Tamandua tetradactyla: one gene and its partner. The main gene of each other region encodes a partner of the protein of the gene in region 2 in a complex. Links are inferred from orthologs where the notes say so. Each region holds a gene or a part of one and is shown on either strand. Other genes may lie near its edges.

The links. Proteins that work in one complex are often made in the same cells at the same time.
Region 1: SNRPB (region 2) and GEMIN5 share a complex: the UniProt entries of both Homo sapiens proteins name them as parts of the SMN-Sm complex. The link is inferred for Tamandua tetradactyla from reciprocal best matches to the Homo sapiens genes SNRPB and GEMIN5.

The regions. Positions count from the first base shown.
Region 1 is NC_135346.1:35,940,589-35,948,100, forward strand, and holds the start of GEMIN5 (gem-associated protein 5), read right to left. Parts: upstream 3,301-7,512; 5' UTR 3,153-3,300; coding exon 2,993-3,152; intron 2,200-2,992; coding exon 2,039-2,199; intron 1,324-2,038; coding exon 1,142-1,323; intron 1-1,141. Other genes in the region: MRPL22 (large ribosomal subunit protein uL22m), read left to right, coding at 4,616-4,697, 4,780-4,828. UniProt on the Homo sapiens protein: The SMN complex catalyzes the assembly of small nuclear ribonucleoproteins (snRNPs), the building blocks of the spliceosome, and thereby plays an important role in the splicing of cellular pre-mRNAs.
Region 2 is NC_135327.1:24,251,429-24,259,470, forward strand, and holds the start of SNRPB (small nuclear ribonucleoprotein-associated proteins B and B'), read right to left. Parts: upstream 3,190-8,042; 5' UTR 3,050-3,189; coding exon 3,047-3,049; intron 679-3,046; coding exon 527-678; intron 1-526. UniProt on the Homo sapiens protein: Plays a role in pre-mRNA splicing as a core component of the spliceosomal U1, U2, U4 and U5 small nuclear ribonucleoproteins (snRNPs), the building blocks of the spliceosome.

The DNA.
Region 1 (7,512 bases), on a different chromosome or scaffold from region 2:
TTTCTGCATGTATCTACAGCCAGTTCCCTTTTAACTTCTAAACAGCTTCATTCCTCCACTCATCACCTTTTACCCCTGCATAATCATTCTCTCTTCTGATTAACCTCCACCAGGATAAAAAAGATGCCACTGTCGTCTTCCAGTTAGACCCCTGGCCCCCTCCTCTGGCTTCATGCTGAACATTTTTTACAGTAAATACTGTGAAAAAGTTGTCTCCACGTGCATCTCTACCCCCGGTGTTTTGAACCGACTTCAATCAGACTTTCCCCTCCAACATTTTAGTGAAATTACTCACGTTGCTTTCAAACTAGAGGAACAGGCGTCTCTTTTTAATCAATTTATTTTTTAAATATAACATACAAACACGAACATTCTTACCATATGATCATTTCATTCTTGATACATAATCCATAACTCACAATATCATCACATAGTTGTATATTCATCATCATGAGCATTTCTTAGAACATTTGCATCAATTCAGAAAAAGATATAAAAAGGAAAAAGAAAAACATTCATACATATCATACCCGTTATGCCTCCCTTTCACTGATCACTTTCATTTCAATCTACTAAATTTATTTTAACATGTTTCCCCTATTATTTATTTATCTTTTATCCATATGTTTTACTCATCGGAGTAGACATCTTTGGGAGAGATGGTCACAGTATGTTGAGGGAAAGGGAGATGCCTACTCAGGCAGCTCACCTGAAACAAACTTAATAACAAGTCCCAATGATGGGATCATTTTTCCAATCTAGAGGAAGAGCTAATCACCAGAGAGTCAGATCTTAAGTCATCTGATGCTCAGAGAGTAAATGTTATATCCAAGGGCAAGGGTAGAGAGTGTAAAAGTTCAAAAAAGACATTTAGAAATTCACAGGAGGAATGAGATATGAAGAAGAATGAGGAAAGTACAGTATCAGGGAAACTAAGGAAACAAACAAAGAGAGGGAGTGGGACAGACAATAAGGATCTGGAAGTCACAGGAAATGATGCCAAGGGCTTGGTGGGGGGGACGACAGTAAGCACTTGCAAACAGGCTCCTTTGAGGAATAAACGGATGGGAGGAAGTAAAGCAAAGGTAAAATATGATCATAAACAAAAATAAACCATCAATATAAATGGCACAATACTCACCCAATGGCTACTAAATCTTCCTGATGAGGTGAACAAGTAAGGCAGAAAATTGTCCTGGGCTCTATAAAGAGGTGCTGGCTGTCATTTCTGTTAAGCCAGTAACAGATAACTACTCCTTTTTCATCCCCAGATACTATTAAGTCCTTTACTCGAGGAGACCAATGCAAGGCTGATATCGTATGCTTTAAAACAAACAAAAATGTCTTTGTTTCCCTTTTGCCAATGCTGAGTTTTTAACCCTTACTAAACATCATCACAATGCTAACACATTATAGATACTCAACAATACTTGTTAGTACTAGTTGTAGAGCAAGATTTATTAACAAATAATAGAAAAATGTAGGCTTTTAGGGAAGAATCATTTTTTCAAAAGACCCATTTCTTCCTTTAATAGCTTTTGTGCAAAATTTGTACTAAGATTAAGCAAGTCTTTTCCTTTCCTTTGTTTTCTCAAAAGGCAGGTACACCAATCATCTTGTTTAGAAATGAATTTTCTTGATTCATCAATGAACTATATAAGGGGTAAACAAACTTTTCTCTAAAAGACCAGATAAATATTTTAGGCTTTGTGTCTCCTCTGCCGTACATGGAAGCAGCTACAGATAATGCTTAAATGAATGAGTGTGGCCATGCCCTAATTGCTAAACTATTAGCAAAAACAGGCAACAGGGTAGCCTGCCAACCTCTGGTTTATATGCAGCTCCTTTCAAAATAGTTTTGAGATACATTACAATATACTGTTTTTTTTTCCTTTTTAAATATACTGCTTCTAATCTAATTAATAGATGCAATTATAGAAGCTACCTTGCACAGATGAGCTAGCAAATGTATAGCTGAAGCAAAAGAACTCCCAGCACAAATATAAAAGTGATCTGAGAAAACATTAAGCCATGTTACCTGATGGACTGCATGTTCTGCCACAACTGTTTTTGTCTCTACATTCCAGATTTTCACAGTCCCATCGTCGGAGCTGGTGGCACAGAGGCTGTATTGACCAGGGTGATGAGAAAACGTGAAGCCAGAGACTCTTTCGGTGTGTCCCACCAACTCCCCTATAACTTTAAGCAAAACCAAATGCCAGATTAATTAAAGCTTCTACCCAGGATTCCAGGTAGAATCATACTGGTTGGTGGGCAAGCAGATGCTATGGAGTTAGTTATTTCACGGTATAACAAAAAGATGTACAGACCCAATCAAAAACCCCAAGTTCTGGCACTGGCTCGGCCATGTGACTTTAGACGAGTCATTTTCTCTCTCTGAGCATCAGTCTTCTCAACTATAATATGATGCTGATATCCTTTGCTATGTCTAATTCAGAAGCTAAGGAGCACCTTCAAACGAAAAATGTGAAAGTGATTCTTATTTTGATCTGATCAGAGATCGTTTGGAATAAACTAAGTATGTGGCATGTCATATCCCAAGGCACAATTAAGACCTAGTTTGGAAGCTGAAAGCATCTGTTTCAACCTATTCATTTTACAGAAACGAAGATCACACAGTTGCATGTTCTTATTTAGGCCCTACAGCTGGAGGCAGACCCCCATACCCCAGAAATCTTCTAGGGGACCTGCGCATACACTAGGGAAGAGACGCCACAAATGTTATAAAAGCCTGGGACCATATAGGGCTAAACTCTAAGTAAGCGAGCGGTCCCACGTGCAAGGGCCAGCAGTCGGGACCTGTTGACCACAGTTCTATCTTGGACACCTGGACGCGACTCGGCTGAGTGATCGTGGTTAAACTGCTTCCCCTGTCTCGGCCTACCTCTAGGAAAATGGGTGTCTGGATGCCCACTCGGCGTCCCGGAGGAGCGCAGGAAGAGGAAGGCCCGGGCCCCGGGGAAGGGATTACCTCGAAATGGGGGCGTCCCAGGGCAAGTGCCCTGGCCCACGCGGACCAGAAAGACTGAGGTGCGCGCCGCGAAGCCAAAAAGGCCCCCGGGCACAGCATCGCTGCAGCGGGCGCAGTACCAGTTGGGAGAAGGCGGCAGAGTCCGCGGCTCCTGCCCCATGACCGGAGGCCGCCGGGACTGAAGGAGCAGCCGCCGAAGCTGTCTGCAGTCCCACGCCGTAGCCCGGAAGGGAGGCGGAGCGGGCTTGGAGCCCCGCCTCCTCAGTCTCGTCCCTACGGCGCGCTCCTAGGTCCACATCACACCACTCGCTACGCTCCCGCCTCCGCCTAAGGGCTGCGAAGGGCGGGGCTACGCCCGCTGTGATCTGCCAACTTAACCTAGTCTGCCTTCTGAGGGTCACCCCTCCCAGGGACTGAGGGGCTACTGCTGCCTGCTTCCGTACCCGGGGTTAGGCGTTCTCTCTTCTCACAGCAAAGATACATAATTAAGGGATTAAACTGATGGAGTCACATCCCCACACTGCTGATTTATTCTTCGAACCTGTTCAATCACCATTCTCATTCTCGCTTTAAATATTTTTTGATCGCTCAATATGAGGCCACTTGGCTAGCTTTGGAGGCTCTTTATATAAAGATTGTTAAGAGACCAATTAGCAAAACATAAAAGGATGAAGGAACCGTTTCGATAACTGGGTAGAAATTCTGACTCTGGGTTCTTAGTACTCAAAGATTAAAGAGAAGCAAGAATAGATTGATTCTTTTTATTTACTTGATTGAGTGCCAAGTTAGAAGGGAACTGTAAGTGGTAAGTTATTGTGGAGGAAAAGGAATAGAAGTTTTCTTTCAACTCAAAACATGCAGATTCTGTACTTAACACTCACCCACTCCTATATGGCTTGTTTGGATCTAGCACTCATGCATATATATCAAACCGAAACCTGAAATACCTATCGTTAATAGAGGACAAGCATAGATAGTAGGTAGGGGCATCAACTATGGAGGCACCCAGCCCTAAATTGACCTCTGTTTTTGCCAGTTTTTAGCTGAAAGGTTAATTTATCGAAAATATTTTCCCATCCGAAGGAACATAATCCGTGTATCTCTGGATTTCTTTGAAGAATAAATGAGATTTAGTTAGTACAATAACTGGTGGGATGTATATGGTAGTAAGTGTCAGGTGAATATTAACATCTCTTGGAGATGATCCTGGAGATTAGTAGCTATTAGGCCTTCATACTTTGTATTTGAACAGTGTCTTCTTTGAAAGAGCTTTCACCTGATCTCTAGCGATCTTTAAAGCAAACCTGGGGTGTAGCGACAGTTATTTCTATCTGTATTTTATTGTCGTGTAAACTGAGGCCCATCGGGTTATGCGGCTTGTTTATGGACTTGTTTCCCTAATCCTTTCAGACCATTTGTGAGGTGAGGCTTCGCAGTTTTTCTGAATCCCGGTGAGTTTCCGGAAACTCAGTACTTTTCGGCCTTTATTAAGTCATTCGTTCCCAAGCATGCTGGCCTAACCACAGGTTAAGTGCCAGACGGGTGTTCCCAGTCTCCATGACAACGCGGCTGGTACTAGCAACTGTTGGGTCTAGGATGGGTAGGAAATCCGGGGTATTGCGCATGCGTCATTTCCCGCCGGTGTATGAACTCGGAGGCTTCCGTAGGAGGGGGAAGATGGCGGCGGCCATAATGGAACAGTTAGGTGAGGATTTTTTAGTAATTACAGGACGGAAGAAGGGAGTGGAGGTAGGAGTCTGAATTGACGACTTGTGTTTATGTTGCAGGTACGTTATGGATGCTGAATCTGAGGAGCCGGGGGAAGCTGGCCTTGGGGTAGGTCTCTCGTCTCGAGGTTACAAAAGGTTACAAGGCCTCTTTACTAGTCTCCCAATTACTGAAAGCCTGTGTGTCAAGGTTTGCTTTAGACTCTAGGGTGCAGAGACGAACAAGACGGCCAGAGTCGCTGCTTTGTTACTCCATTTTTCCGCCACCAAGGTGCATATCTTGTGCAAATCACTATTACCCATTAACCAAGAACAATTGTGATATCTTTTCTGAACTCTGGTCTTTATGGATAGTCTCCTCAGATCTCTTTGGTGTGTGGTTGGGTGTGAATCCACTTGTTGACTATGTGATTTTGAAAAAAAACTCCTTATCCTTTCTAAGCTTGAGCTATTTCTTATGTAATGTGAGATTAATGAATCTTAAATGAGATAATATATATGAAGTGTTTAGTACAATGTAGGGCAGGTACTAAATCTTGGCTGTCATTATTATTTTTATGGTCATACGTTATTATTGAGTTCCCGTTATATTTAGCCCTGTCTTAGCTTCTTGGATCAGGGGATTGAAGACGTGGGCTAAAGAAGAAAATGGAAAGCACTGGCTCTTAGAATTTGTCTGCAGTTTGCTTTCTTACATTACCTTCTCTGGCTCCACCCCCAACTGTAACCGATACCCTGCTGGCAATAGTGCCAACTGAGCCCTGTTCCAGTTTGTTAGTCTCGAAATTAAAATAATTTGGAGAAGAGAGGGCCAGTAGGAATGAGTAGTAAAGTTTATTAAAGAAAGTGAAAGAGTACACATTAAAGAGATAATGTGGATGTGTTCAAGGGAGAAACATGCAGTGAGTGAAGTGGGTTAGCTTGTTTTGTAGGAAAGTGTTACTGGTGGCAGGTTTCCATAGTAACCTTTGAATACCAGATGTCTTCTTTGCACAGTTTCTACAAGGTTTATATTAACCAGGTGCTTATAGGGCTAACATTGTTTCAGGAAGAGATGACTATTGATGCTTGTGACCAACCCGTCGTGTATCCAAAATTTGTTTTTGGGCTGATCTTTACAATTCCAGGTTTTCTGTTATTAACGAAGAGGTTGTTTGGGGCTCATTATTTTACAAACTTTTATGGTTTGGGGAGGTTTTGATGGTTTGGGGGCTTTAGGGGAAGTATTTGTTCCATGAAGTTTACAACTGAAGTTTGCGGTTTGCATTAATTCCTTTGGAGCTAGATAAGAAACAAGGGACTTCAGTTGTTTATTAATTCTTTTTAAGAGCTGGATAGTAAACAGGGCCCTCCAGTTATCTGTTAACTCTTTCAGAACTGGATAGGAAGGGACTTGCAGTTTTCCTATGCTACTTCACAACCATATTGATTTACCTGTTCTGAATATACTGTGCATTTCTTGCTTCTTGCCATTTTTTTGTGCTGTGATTTCCCTATTTATAACTCCAGTCCAACTCATTATTCAAGCCCCTGTTCAAATGTTTCTCCCTTCAGGGCCGTCTTCCCAGATTTCACTAAAACTGAAATTTTCTCCTTCCTCTTAGCATGTGTGCCTCGGATCATGGCTTCATATATATATATATTTGTATCCTTTACTAGCTTGTGTATCCTGAAGTGGTAGGGATACTTTTGCTTCTGTTTGTAGCTCCAGCTCAGGGTCTTGCTCAAACTACTTTGTTAATATTTGTGGATTTGAATTATCCCACACCAACTTACACTGGAAACAGTGAGCGAGTAACTTAAGCAGTTTTGGCTTCAGTCTTTTCATCTATCTCACATATGGAATAGTGTTGGATTTTGCTAGGATAATCTCTAAGGCCCTTTCCAGTTTGAAGTTATAGAATTTAATGAATGCCCATTCTGAACTTCCTAATGGAAAGGACAGGTTATGTCCATACGAAAACTAAGTGGAAAAGGTATTAATAATGCCCATGATAACAATGTAAAATCTTTGAGATCTTGTAATTCAATGATTAGAAATTTAATTGCATACAAGGGGCCAAATAGGTAATAGAAATGAGTGAACTAGGAGAAGTGGTCGATGTAAAATGAGGGGAATGGCAGGGCCTGTGGCAGTCAGTAGAGTTCATGCCTCATTTAAAGATATTGAATTGGATTAAGACAAAATGCCGTTGCCCAAATTAACTTTTCTGCGGGCAGGCTGTTTACAACCTTTGAATTCCAAGACTTTCATTTTCCTCATGAATGCAAATAAATTTTGTGACTTAATGAAGGCTACACGGTTAATAGGATATGAGTGCTCTTTCACATGATGGGATGGATGGAATGATGGACCCAGAAGGAGTTTGTCAAGGGAGTTTTTTTTTTTTTGTAAGATATGATTTTTTTTTAAAGTTTGTTTTGAGGAATGCAAGAATTCATTTTGGTGGTTTAGAAATAGAAGGGCTAGTGTTAAAGTTTGAAGGCTTTAATGATTAAGTTAGGTTAAGATACTCCATGAGAAAAACCAAGTTGGAAATGACATGAATTGGAGGTTTGGTGGACAATTGATGACAGCAGGGTAATATATTTGAATAAACATTGGGTTGCAGAAGATAGAGTGAGCTGGATTTCAACCCCGACTCTATTGTGACCTTGGATAATTTAACTTCCAAGTTAACTCCAAAACTTGGAGAATCAATTTTCTTATTTCAAAAAATGAGGATAATATCTACCTTAGAGGATGGTTGTGAGGATTAAGATGTTAAATGTTTACTATGGTACCTGACACTG
Region 2 (8,042 bases):
TCTTCGGGAAAGGGAGTCATCCAGTAACTGATGAAAACGTCTCCAACTATTTCTAAAATGTCAACAAAAATCACTGGCCCCAAACCCACATGGGGAGCTGAGCACTTACCCTGAAGAGGGTCAGAGGCTTCTTAAAGCAGTTTCAGACCAGGCTGCATTGGGAGAGCCCTTTAGGCTACAGCTTTACAAATAGGCAATGAGGCCAGAAAATCAAGCTCTCCCCCCTTACACACCTGTAGGGAGAACACGACAGCCCTTTACCCCAGTACTCAGGGGCATACAAGGTCAGAGAAACAAAAACCTAGCAGCCCTCCTCACAACTTTTATTTTGCTAGACTAGAACTCAGGCTTGCTGGGCGCTAAGGAAGGAGATTTCTTAGTGTCCAATAACCCCATTTAAGTCTGCCCTCTAAAATGTGAACGCAGGAAGAGAGGAACTGGCAAGTTATAGCAGCACCTGTCACTTGGCCCACCCATCCAATGTCCTCCGCCTCAACCTCCCCCTGCCCCACAGCCCCCTCCTTACTTGATCTTCCTGAACTCATCACAGTCACAGAGAATCAAGTTCATATGCTTGTCAAAAGCCTTGAAGGTGCCAATGAAGATGCGGCCATCTTGTAGGATGCACCTCATCCTGTAGTCGATGTGCTGCAGCATCTTGCTGCTCTTGCCCACAGTCTGCAGGGAGAAATCAATGGGGATGAGATTCAAGCTCTTTTCCACCCATTTGGTCCTGGTCCTTCCTGAAGCTGGGTCAGGCCTTCTTTTCTATGCACCTATGTTTCTCAATAGATTCTCAGCTGCCAGCTACTCATAGACCTTTCCCTGAATTCTCCCATCTTACCCCCGTTTTCAGCCCTGACCTATGCCCACTGCTTTGCTATTCTCCCCTCAAAGTTAATCTTTCTCATACTGCATTATTGTTATCAGAGTTTCAGGAGTTAGAGTACAGGATTGCCCAAACCAATCAAATCTACTCATCATGAGATTAATAATCTGCCACTGTGCAGATTATAGACTTGACCCAAGTGCTATGGAACACCCATATGATTAAAAAGACAGAGAGGGCAGTGTAACAGTGGCTCAGTGGCAGAATTCTTGCCTACCATGCTAGAGGCACGGGTGCAATTCCTGGAACCTGCCCATCCAGAAAAAAAAAAAAAAAGAGTAAAGAGTTGGAATAGGACTGGTGATAAAAAGGCTGAAATCCAATCAACAAGAAACTTATCACTAAGGAGTTCATCAGCGTGGAGGTTAGGAGTATGAAATCCCCAAGTGCTTCTGAGAGAGGGAAATTTTCTGGTAGCCAAAGCACTAATCTATTTGAGCACATAATGACCTTTGAGAATATGTAACTTGCTACACTTTATTTCTAAATTAACCCAACAAATTTCTGCTTTTTAACGTGACCTCCAGATTTCTTTCAAGAAACAAATGACCTGGTATTTGATCTGGGTATCTGTCTCCCATCAGTCTGATGTGGGGCAAGTCTGAAGTCATCCTATTTATTGGGTGTCTTCTTGTCGTGGGCACTGTGCTTGCTGTTTACCTGAACCCACACCAGGACAACGTCCTGAACCTTCTTACAAATGCATGGTTCAGAGCCTTGACTCCACCAAGGTACTGTGCCACCTGGGAGACCCCTGGTTATATGGGTCTGTCTCCCATACATAACCTTTTCAACTGGTTCTAATCACAAGGAGCTAAACCTTTATGGAAACATTCACCAGCCTTCTAACAGTTAATTCTTATTGGGTGTTCACTGTGTATTACATGCTTGATAAGCACTAAATATCTGTCAATTTATTTAATCCTCAAAATGATCCCCTTATTGTTTCTACTTTACAGATGAGGCCATCGAGGCTAGGAGAGGTTATGGTAACTTGCCTTGTCTCACAGCTGGGAAGCTGTTAGAACCCAGTCGGCCTGAATCCAGTGATTATTCATTTAACCAACTCTCCAAACAGTAACCGAGCAGGTTTCCCTGCTTCCAAATCTCACCCAATACAAAACAGCTAGAGTAATCTTTCTAAACACAGAGTCTAGTCATTTTGCTAGTTAAAATCCTTCAATGACATGCCCATCACCAACAGAATAAAGCAGCACGAAGGCCTTTAGTAACCAGGCTCCTTCCACGTCCTCCAGTCTCATCTTCTACCTCTTCCTTCCTTTTCCTCCTCCCCTCTCCCGCCCCGCCCCAACCCCCAGTAACTTTTAACTATGCTACCCTACATGCCTTTGCTCTTGCAATTCCCAGTCTATATAGTATTTCCTTCCATCTTCTGCTGGAAAAGATTCTGACAAATCTTTTAGGACTCTGCTCAGGAATCATCCATTCCCGAAAGCATTCTTACCCCGCATCAACCTGCGCCGTTACTTTTGCCTAACGCTGAACTAGTTACACTGTGTTATGATTATTTATTATCCGTGTCCCCAAGGATATGCGAACTCGGTGACACATTTCAATTTGTAGCCCCAGAACCTGAGAAGTCAGACACTCAGTACAGATATACTAAATAAGTGAGTTGAACTCCTCCAAATAATCTCATTCACTCTCCCGTTCCCTCTTCCCCATCCACGTCTCCCGGGAAGTATCTTTTGTTTCGGGCCACAACTCCCCGCCCTACCCCACACCGGACGCCGCAACTCGGTCTCCGCCCCTCACCCTCTTTCACAAGTCTGAGCCTTTTCCGCGGTCCTCCCTGGCCCACCTCCGGCTCCTGGTGCCGGCGCCGAAAGCCCGGACATATACTTATGCAGCAAGTTTACTTAGTGGCTACCAAGTCCCAGGCACTGTAGCTATAGCGGTTTCGGGAGAAGCGGTTACACGCTCCCCCCCACCCTGCATTCCTGGGTTCCAACTTTCCACTCCCCACCACGCCGAACTGCAGGCTCCAGGTCGCCTCTACCCGGTCCCAGCGGCCGCGGCTCGGGCCTTCACCGCCATTAGCAGATCCAACCCATGACTTCTTCCCCCCGCGCAGCCGCGGCCCTCACTCCAATACAGACTCGGAGACTCTCGCGCCGCCGGCCCGCGCCCCCTCACCATGGTGGCGGTTCCCGATGGTCCCGATTCCCGCCGGATTGGCCTCTGCAGAGGCCTAGACGCCCGACAGCGATCCGATTCCCGCCGCCGCTACAGGAAATGGAGCCGTTACTAAAATGCGGCCGGGTAGAAATGCACTTCCGGTCCCGGTACCAGGTGGCTGAGTTCCGGCTCCCGTGCTGCGCCGCGCGTTCCGGACGGGGGCGGGGCTTCAAGCTTTGGACTTCTCGGAGAACCTTTGAGAAGTTCCTGTTCGATCTGCCTTCCCCTTCTCTTTACGTAATAGATTCTTCCTACCTCTCCCTTCTCCAGACACACCTTCTCTGCCTTTTCCGTGAATTTGCTTCACGTTCTCTTGCCTTTACATTTGCTGTTGCGGCTGCCAGGGATGCTCATCCCACAGGCCTAGTAGGGGGCATGTACGTCAGCACATGCCCAAACATCCTTCACGCTTAAGCTCAAAGAAAATTTTGTCAGTAAGGACTTCCTGGGCCAACCTGTTTAAAAATACCTTTCCACCCATCACCTCTGCCTTATTTTTCTCCTTAGCATTTATTGCCATCTAACATACTATATATTTTTGTTACTTAGCTTACCCACCCCCATTAGAACATAAGCTCTGTGAGGGTAGGGGGTTTCTTTGTGTATTGTTCTCTTTGGCAGTGCCTAGAGCACTGCTTAGCACAAAATAAGAGCTCAATAACTGTTGTTGAATGAATGACTCTCATGCAGTCCCAAGACTGATGACTTTCAAGTGTATTCCTCTAACGCTGGTCCCTTCATTTAACTTTGGGTCTTTTATATCCAGCCTCTTGTTTGATATGGATGCCTAATATGGATATTAAGTTTAAAATTTTGAAAATTGAATTCTTAATTCTATCCTCTCTTCCTAGAATTAAGAATTCTAATTCTTAATTCTTACATGCCTCCCATCTCACAAGAGGCAACACCACCATTCACACAATTGCTTAGGTTAAAAAATCAAAATGACAAACTTGAAAGCATCTTTGACTCCTCTCTTTCTCTCCCACCTCATAATCAGTCCATCAGCAAATCCTGTGAGCTCTGTCTTCGAAATGTCTTGCATCTGACTCTCCTCACTCCCTCCACTGCTACCGCCACAGCCCTAGCCATTATCATCAATCTTGGATCGCTGAATGAGCCCCCCTAACTGGTCTCTCTGCTTTCACAGCAGCCTCAGGAATCCTTCTATGATAAACTGGGATTCTATCAGATTATTTCATTGCCCTGCTCTCCACTTCCAAATGACTTCCCAGTACATGTGCAATGAAATCCTGCTGCCTTGCTCTACAACTTCATCTCCTTCCACTTTCCCCTCATTTATCAAGCTCCAGCCACACTGGTCTCCCTGCTGTTCCTCAAACCCAGCAAGGAAATCTTGAGTCTCAGGGGCTTTGCCCTCCCCCTCCCACCTCAGATATTCCCATTGCTGGGGTCTTCACTTCCTTCAGGTCTCTGCTCACACCTCCTCAGAGAGCCTTTCCCTACCTTTTCCCTTGTCCTGCTTTATTTTTCTTTCAACACTTACCACTCTGTTACTTTATACACTTATTTATTTGGTTTATTGTCTGTCTTTCTCACTAGAAGATAAGCTCCATGAGGGCGGAGGCTTTATATCCCAATAACATTACCTGGCCTTAGCATATGCTAAGTAAATATTTTTGAATGCATGCATGGATGCATGTCTTCTAACACAGGGTGACTTCTGGGCAAGAGAACAGCTAAAGAGCCAGAAGGGCCTAGATTCCAGATCTGACTCTGCCACCTCGTGGCTGTGAAACCTTGGGCAAGACATTTCATCTCTGAGCCTTTATCTCTTCATCTACAGGTTGACAGACACAAGAAAACAACATGCCTCCCACAGAAGGTGTGAGAGTTAAATGCTCAGAAGAGTGCCTGGCAATAGCATGTATTTGGCAAAATAGCTCTTAATAGTAACTCAGAGGTCCCTGTATTGGCACTCAGTGTTTTTGACCCGTATTCCAGGTAGGGGTGAGTGTGTATGTGTGTTTTCAGCTTAACTTGGATACCAAGATACCACCGTGATTCACTTTTATACTCAGTCCCTAGCACAATTTCTGGTCCATAGGAGACAGCAGTAAATCCTACTGAATGTATGATATTTAGTCAAATGGTGGCTGCTTAGGAGATAGAAAGTGAAAATGATGGGTTGCAGTATAGTCTGGGACAACAGAATTAAACGTTTAGCAAATAGCCTAGTAGTTAAAGCATGGGCTCAGTGCTGGGTGACCTTACGTGTGTTAATTAACATCTTTATGCTTATGTAAAATGAAGATAATATTACCAACTTGACAGGCAATACTGGAAGGATGAAATGAGAGAATGCAATTAAGAAACCTAGTGCCATGTCTGGCATGGAGAAAGCATTCAATTAACCATTAGCTACTACTATGAAATTGTTGTCTATTGCTGTATAGCAACTTCCCCTTCCCAAACTGGTGCCTTAAAACAAAATTATATCTTATGATCCTGTGGTTGAATAGTGAGTCTTCTGTTGCTCTTACCTGGGGACACTCATGTGACTATTTGGCAGATTGACTGGAGCTGGATAATCCTAGTAGCCTCACCCACATCTGGTGTTTGGTGCTAACTATCAGTTGAACCTCTCTCTCCAGATGGCCTCTCATTCTCCAGCAGTGAGACGGTCCAGGCATCCTCACATGATGGTCTCAGGGCAGCAAGAGAGGCCTAGCCTCAGAAATTCTGCAACATCTGCCACTTCTTATGATAAAATCAGATTCCAAAGCCAGACCAGTTACAATGGAAAAATACTCCAGGTCTTGATAGGAAGAGCATCTGGGATGGGAGAGATTGGTACCACCATCTTTGCAAACCAAAAAGAAATTTAAAATAATTATAAAAACTTGCACTCTCACACAGTAATGTTAAGTAGTGGGATTTGAGTTCAGATTGGCATGTTTCCAGGTTCTTCTGCTGGCCTACTTGAAGGGGCAGTGGTTTTTAACAGTAATTTCCAAGGAGTAGAGGGGAGATACAGACAGGTCCTAGGTGGGCATATTCAAGTTTGGGAATGGGTCTGTAGATGGGTCTTGTATTTGGTTTAAAAAGGTTCCTTATATATCTCTTTGAGTGGTAAAGAAATAGCTGACAGTTTCAGCTAACCTCAGATAAGGGAATTCTCAGAACCAAAGCTGGTGTCAATTTATGCATTACTTCTGTGTGGGAGAAGTGAAAAGATTGAGAATGGCTATTCTCCAAAGCAATTTGCTGTATTAAAATTAAAGAATAAGGTACAGGGCTACATAAAAACACTCTAAACACAATGAGAATATGGATTTTATCCCATATATATATATTATGCATATTGGAAGGAAGAGGAACTAAAAAAGCACAGTATGACATTTACTAACAGAAAAAGACTATACTGTGAAAGAATCTTGCGCTTGCCAAGAATCCTGTTTTCTTTTAGGAAAAAAATGGATACAAAACTTATATATGCTTATTTTGCATATATAAGAAAAATATGCACCAATATTTAAATTTAGGTTAGAGCTGAATCACCATACCTGATTCCACAACCACTTGATGTCAGATTGTTCACGATTATTGTCTCCCTTCCCCACATCTGCTCTGTGACCCTCAGATGGCTCTCAAAAGGGCTCATTACACAAGGTATCAGCCTTGCTACCCTCCAGTAGAAGTATTTTGACAAGCTCTTTTGTCAGGTCCCCACACCATTGAGATCACTAAATCAAACATTTCCATACTAAAATTGACATTAATTTTTCACAATCCACGGCTGCTTTTCAGAAAACCCAGCAAAATCATAATGATAAAGACAATTCTGAAACTAAAGGTGAGGAAGAATGATGGTGAGCTCTGAGTGAAAGGTCACAGCTCAAAGAAGGGGACAGGGTATCAGGATGGTCAAATGAAAAGGCTAAGAAGGGGTAGGCCCAGAGACTTTTTTGGAGTGGAACGAGTGATGAGATCAGGAAGAATACATGAAACTACTTGAGTTTGAACTCCCCAGTTCTCCAAACCAATTGGTTCTCCTAACCAATCTGGCTGGGTCCTCTCTTACTAGGTCTTGTCCAGATGCCACAGGCATTTGAGTTTGAGATCATTGATCTAGTGTCCTAAATAAGCCATCCGGTCCTACTAAAGAATGGCCTCCAGTTCTGACTAGAAGTAAAGTACTGCTGTTACAGTTCTGGCAAAGGGACTTGAGTGTAAAAGTGGCAAGGGGTGGGAGCCACATTCCCAGGCACTTGCACACACTTTCTGCCTACGAGAGTTAACTGAGAATCCACTGGAAAGCTGACTTCATGGTGAGGGGACTAGGGACTTCCCTCAATTACCCCCTTCTTTGATGGACAGGGAGGCATCAAAAAGAATTTTGCTATCCTTTCTGATCCCCTCCCCAGGCACTCTGGACCCATCTGTGCCCCTTTTGTGGGTCCCTGACCCTATTCCTCTCTGGGGTAACTCTCCTCCCAGAATTTGCCCTCCAGGCAAAAGCAGCTAGAGACAATGAAAGGAGTTTAAAAAACTATAGAGGCAAAACAAAAACAGAACAGAAGAAGACCCCAGAGAAGGAGCAGAGGAAAGGAAGCTTTCTCCTAGAGGTAAAACAACTGCACAAAAAATGCAATCTTAAAAATTGTGCCACATATACAGAACAAGAATCAGATGAAGAGCTGAAAAAAAAATATGACCAGTTAAATACAGGCTATGTTAAAAGTCTAGAATAAGTTGAACTAAGCATCAAAGAAGTTGAACTTAATACAAAGCCAACCAACAATAAAACCCTAGGCCAAAAACAAAAAAAAAAAAAAACTGACCTTCAGAGTAAACACAACAAGATAATCAGTTCCTGTACTACAGAAAAAATTACAAGTCATATTAAGAAGCAGGAAGATAAGAAGCAGTCAAGAGAACAACTTAAAACTCCAGAAGAGACACAAAACTTGGGACAACTAATCAAAGATGT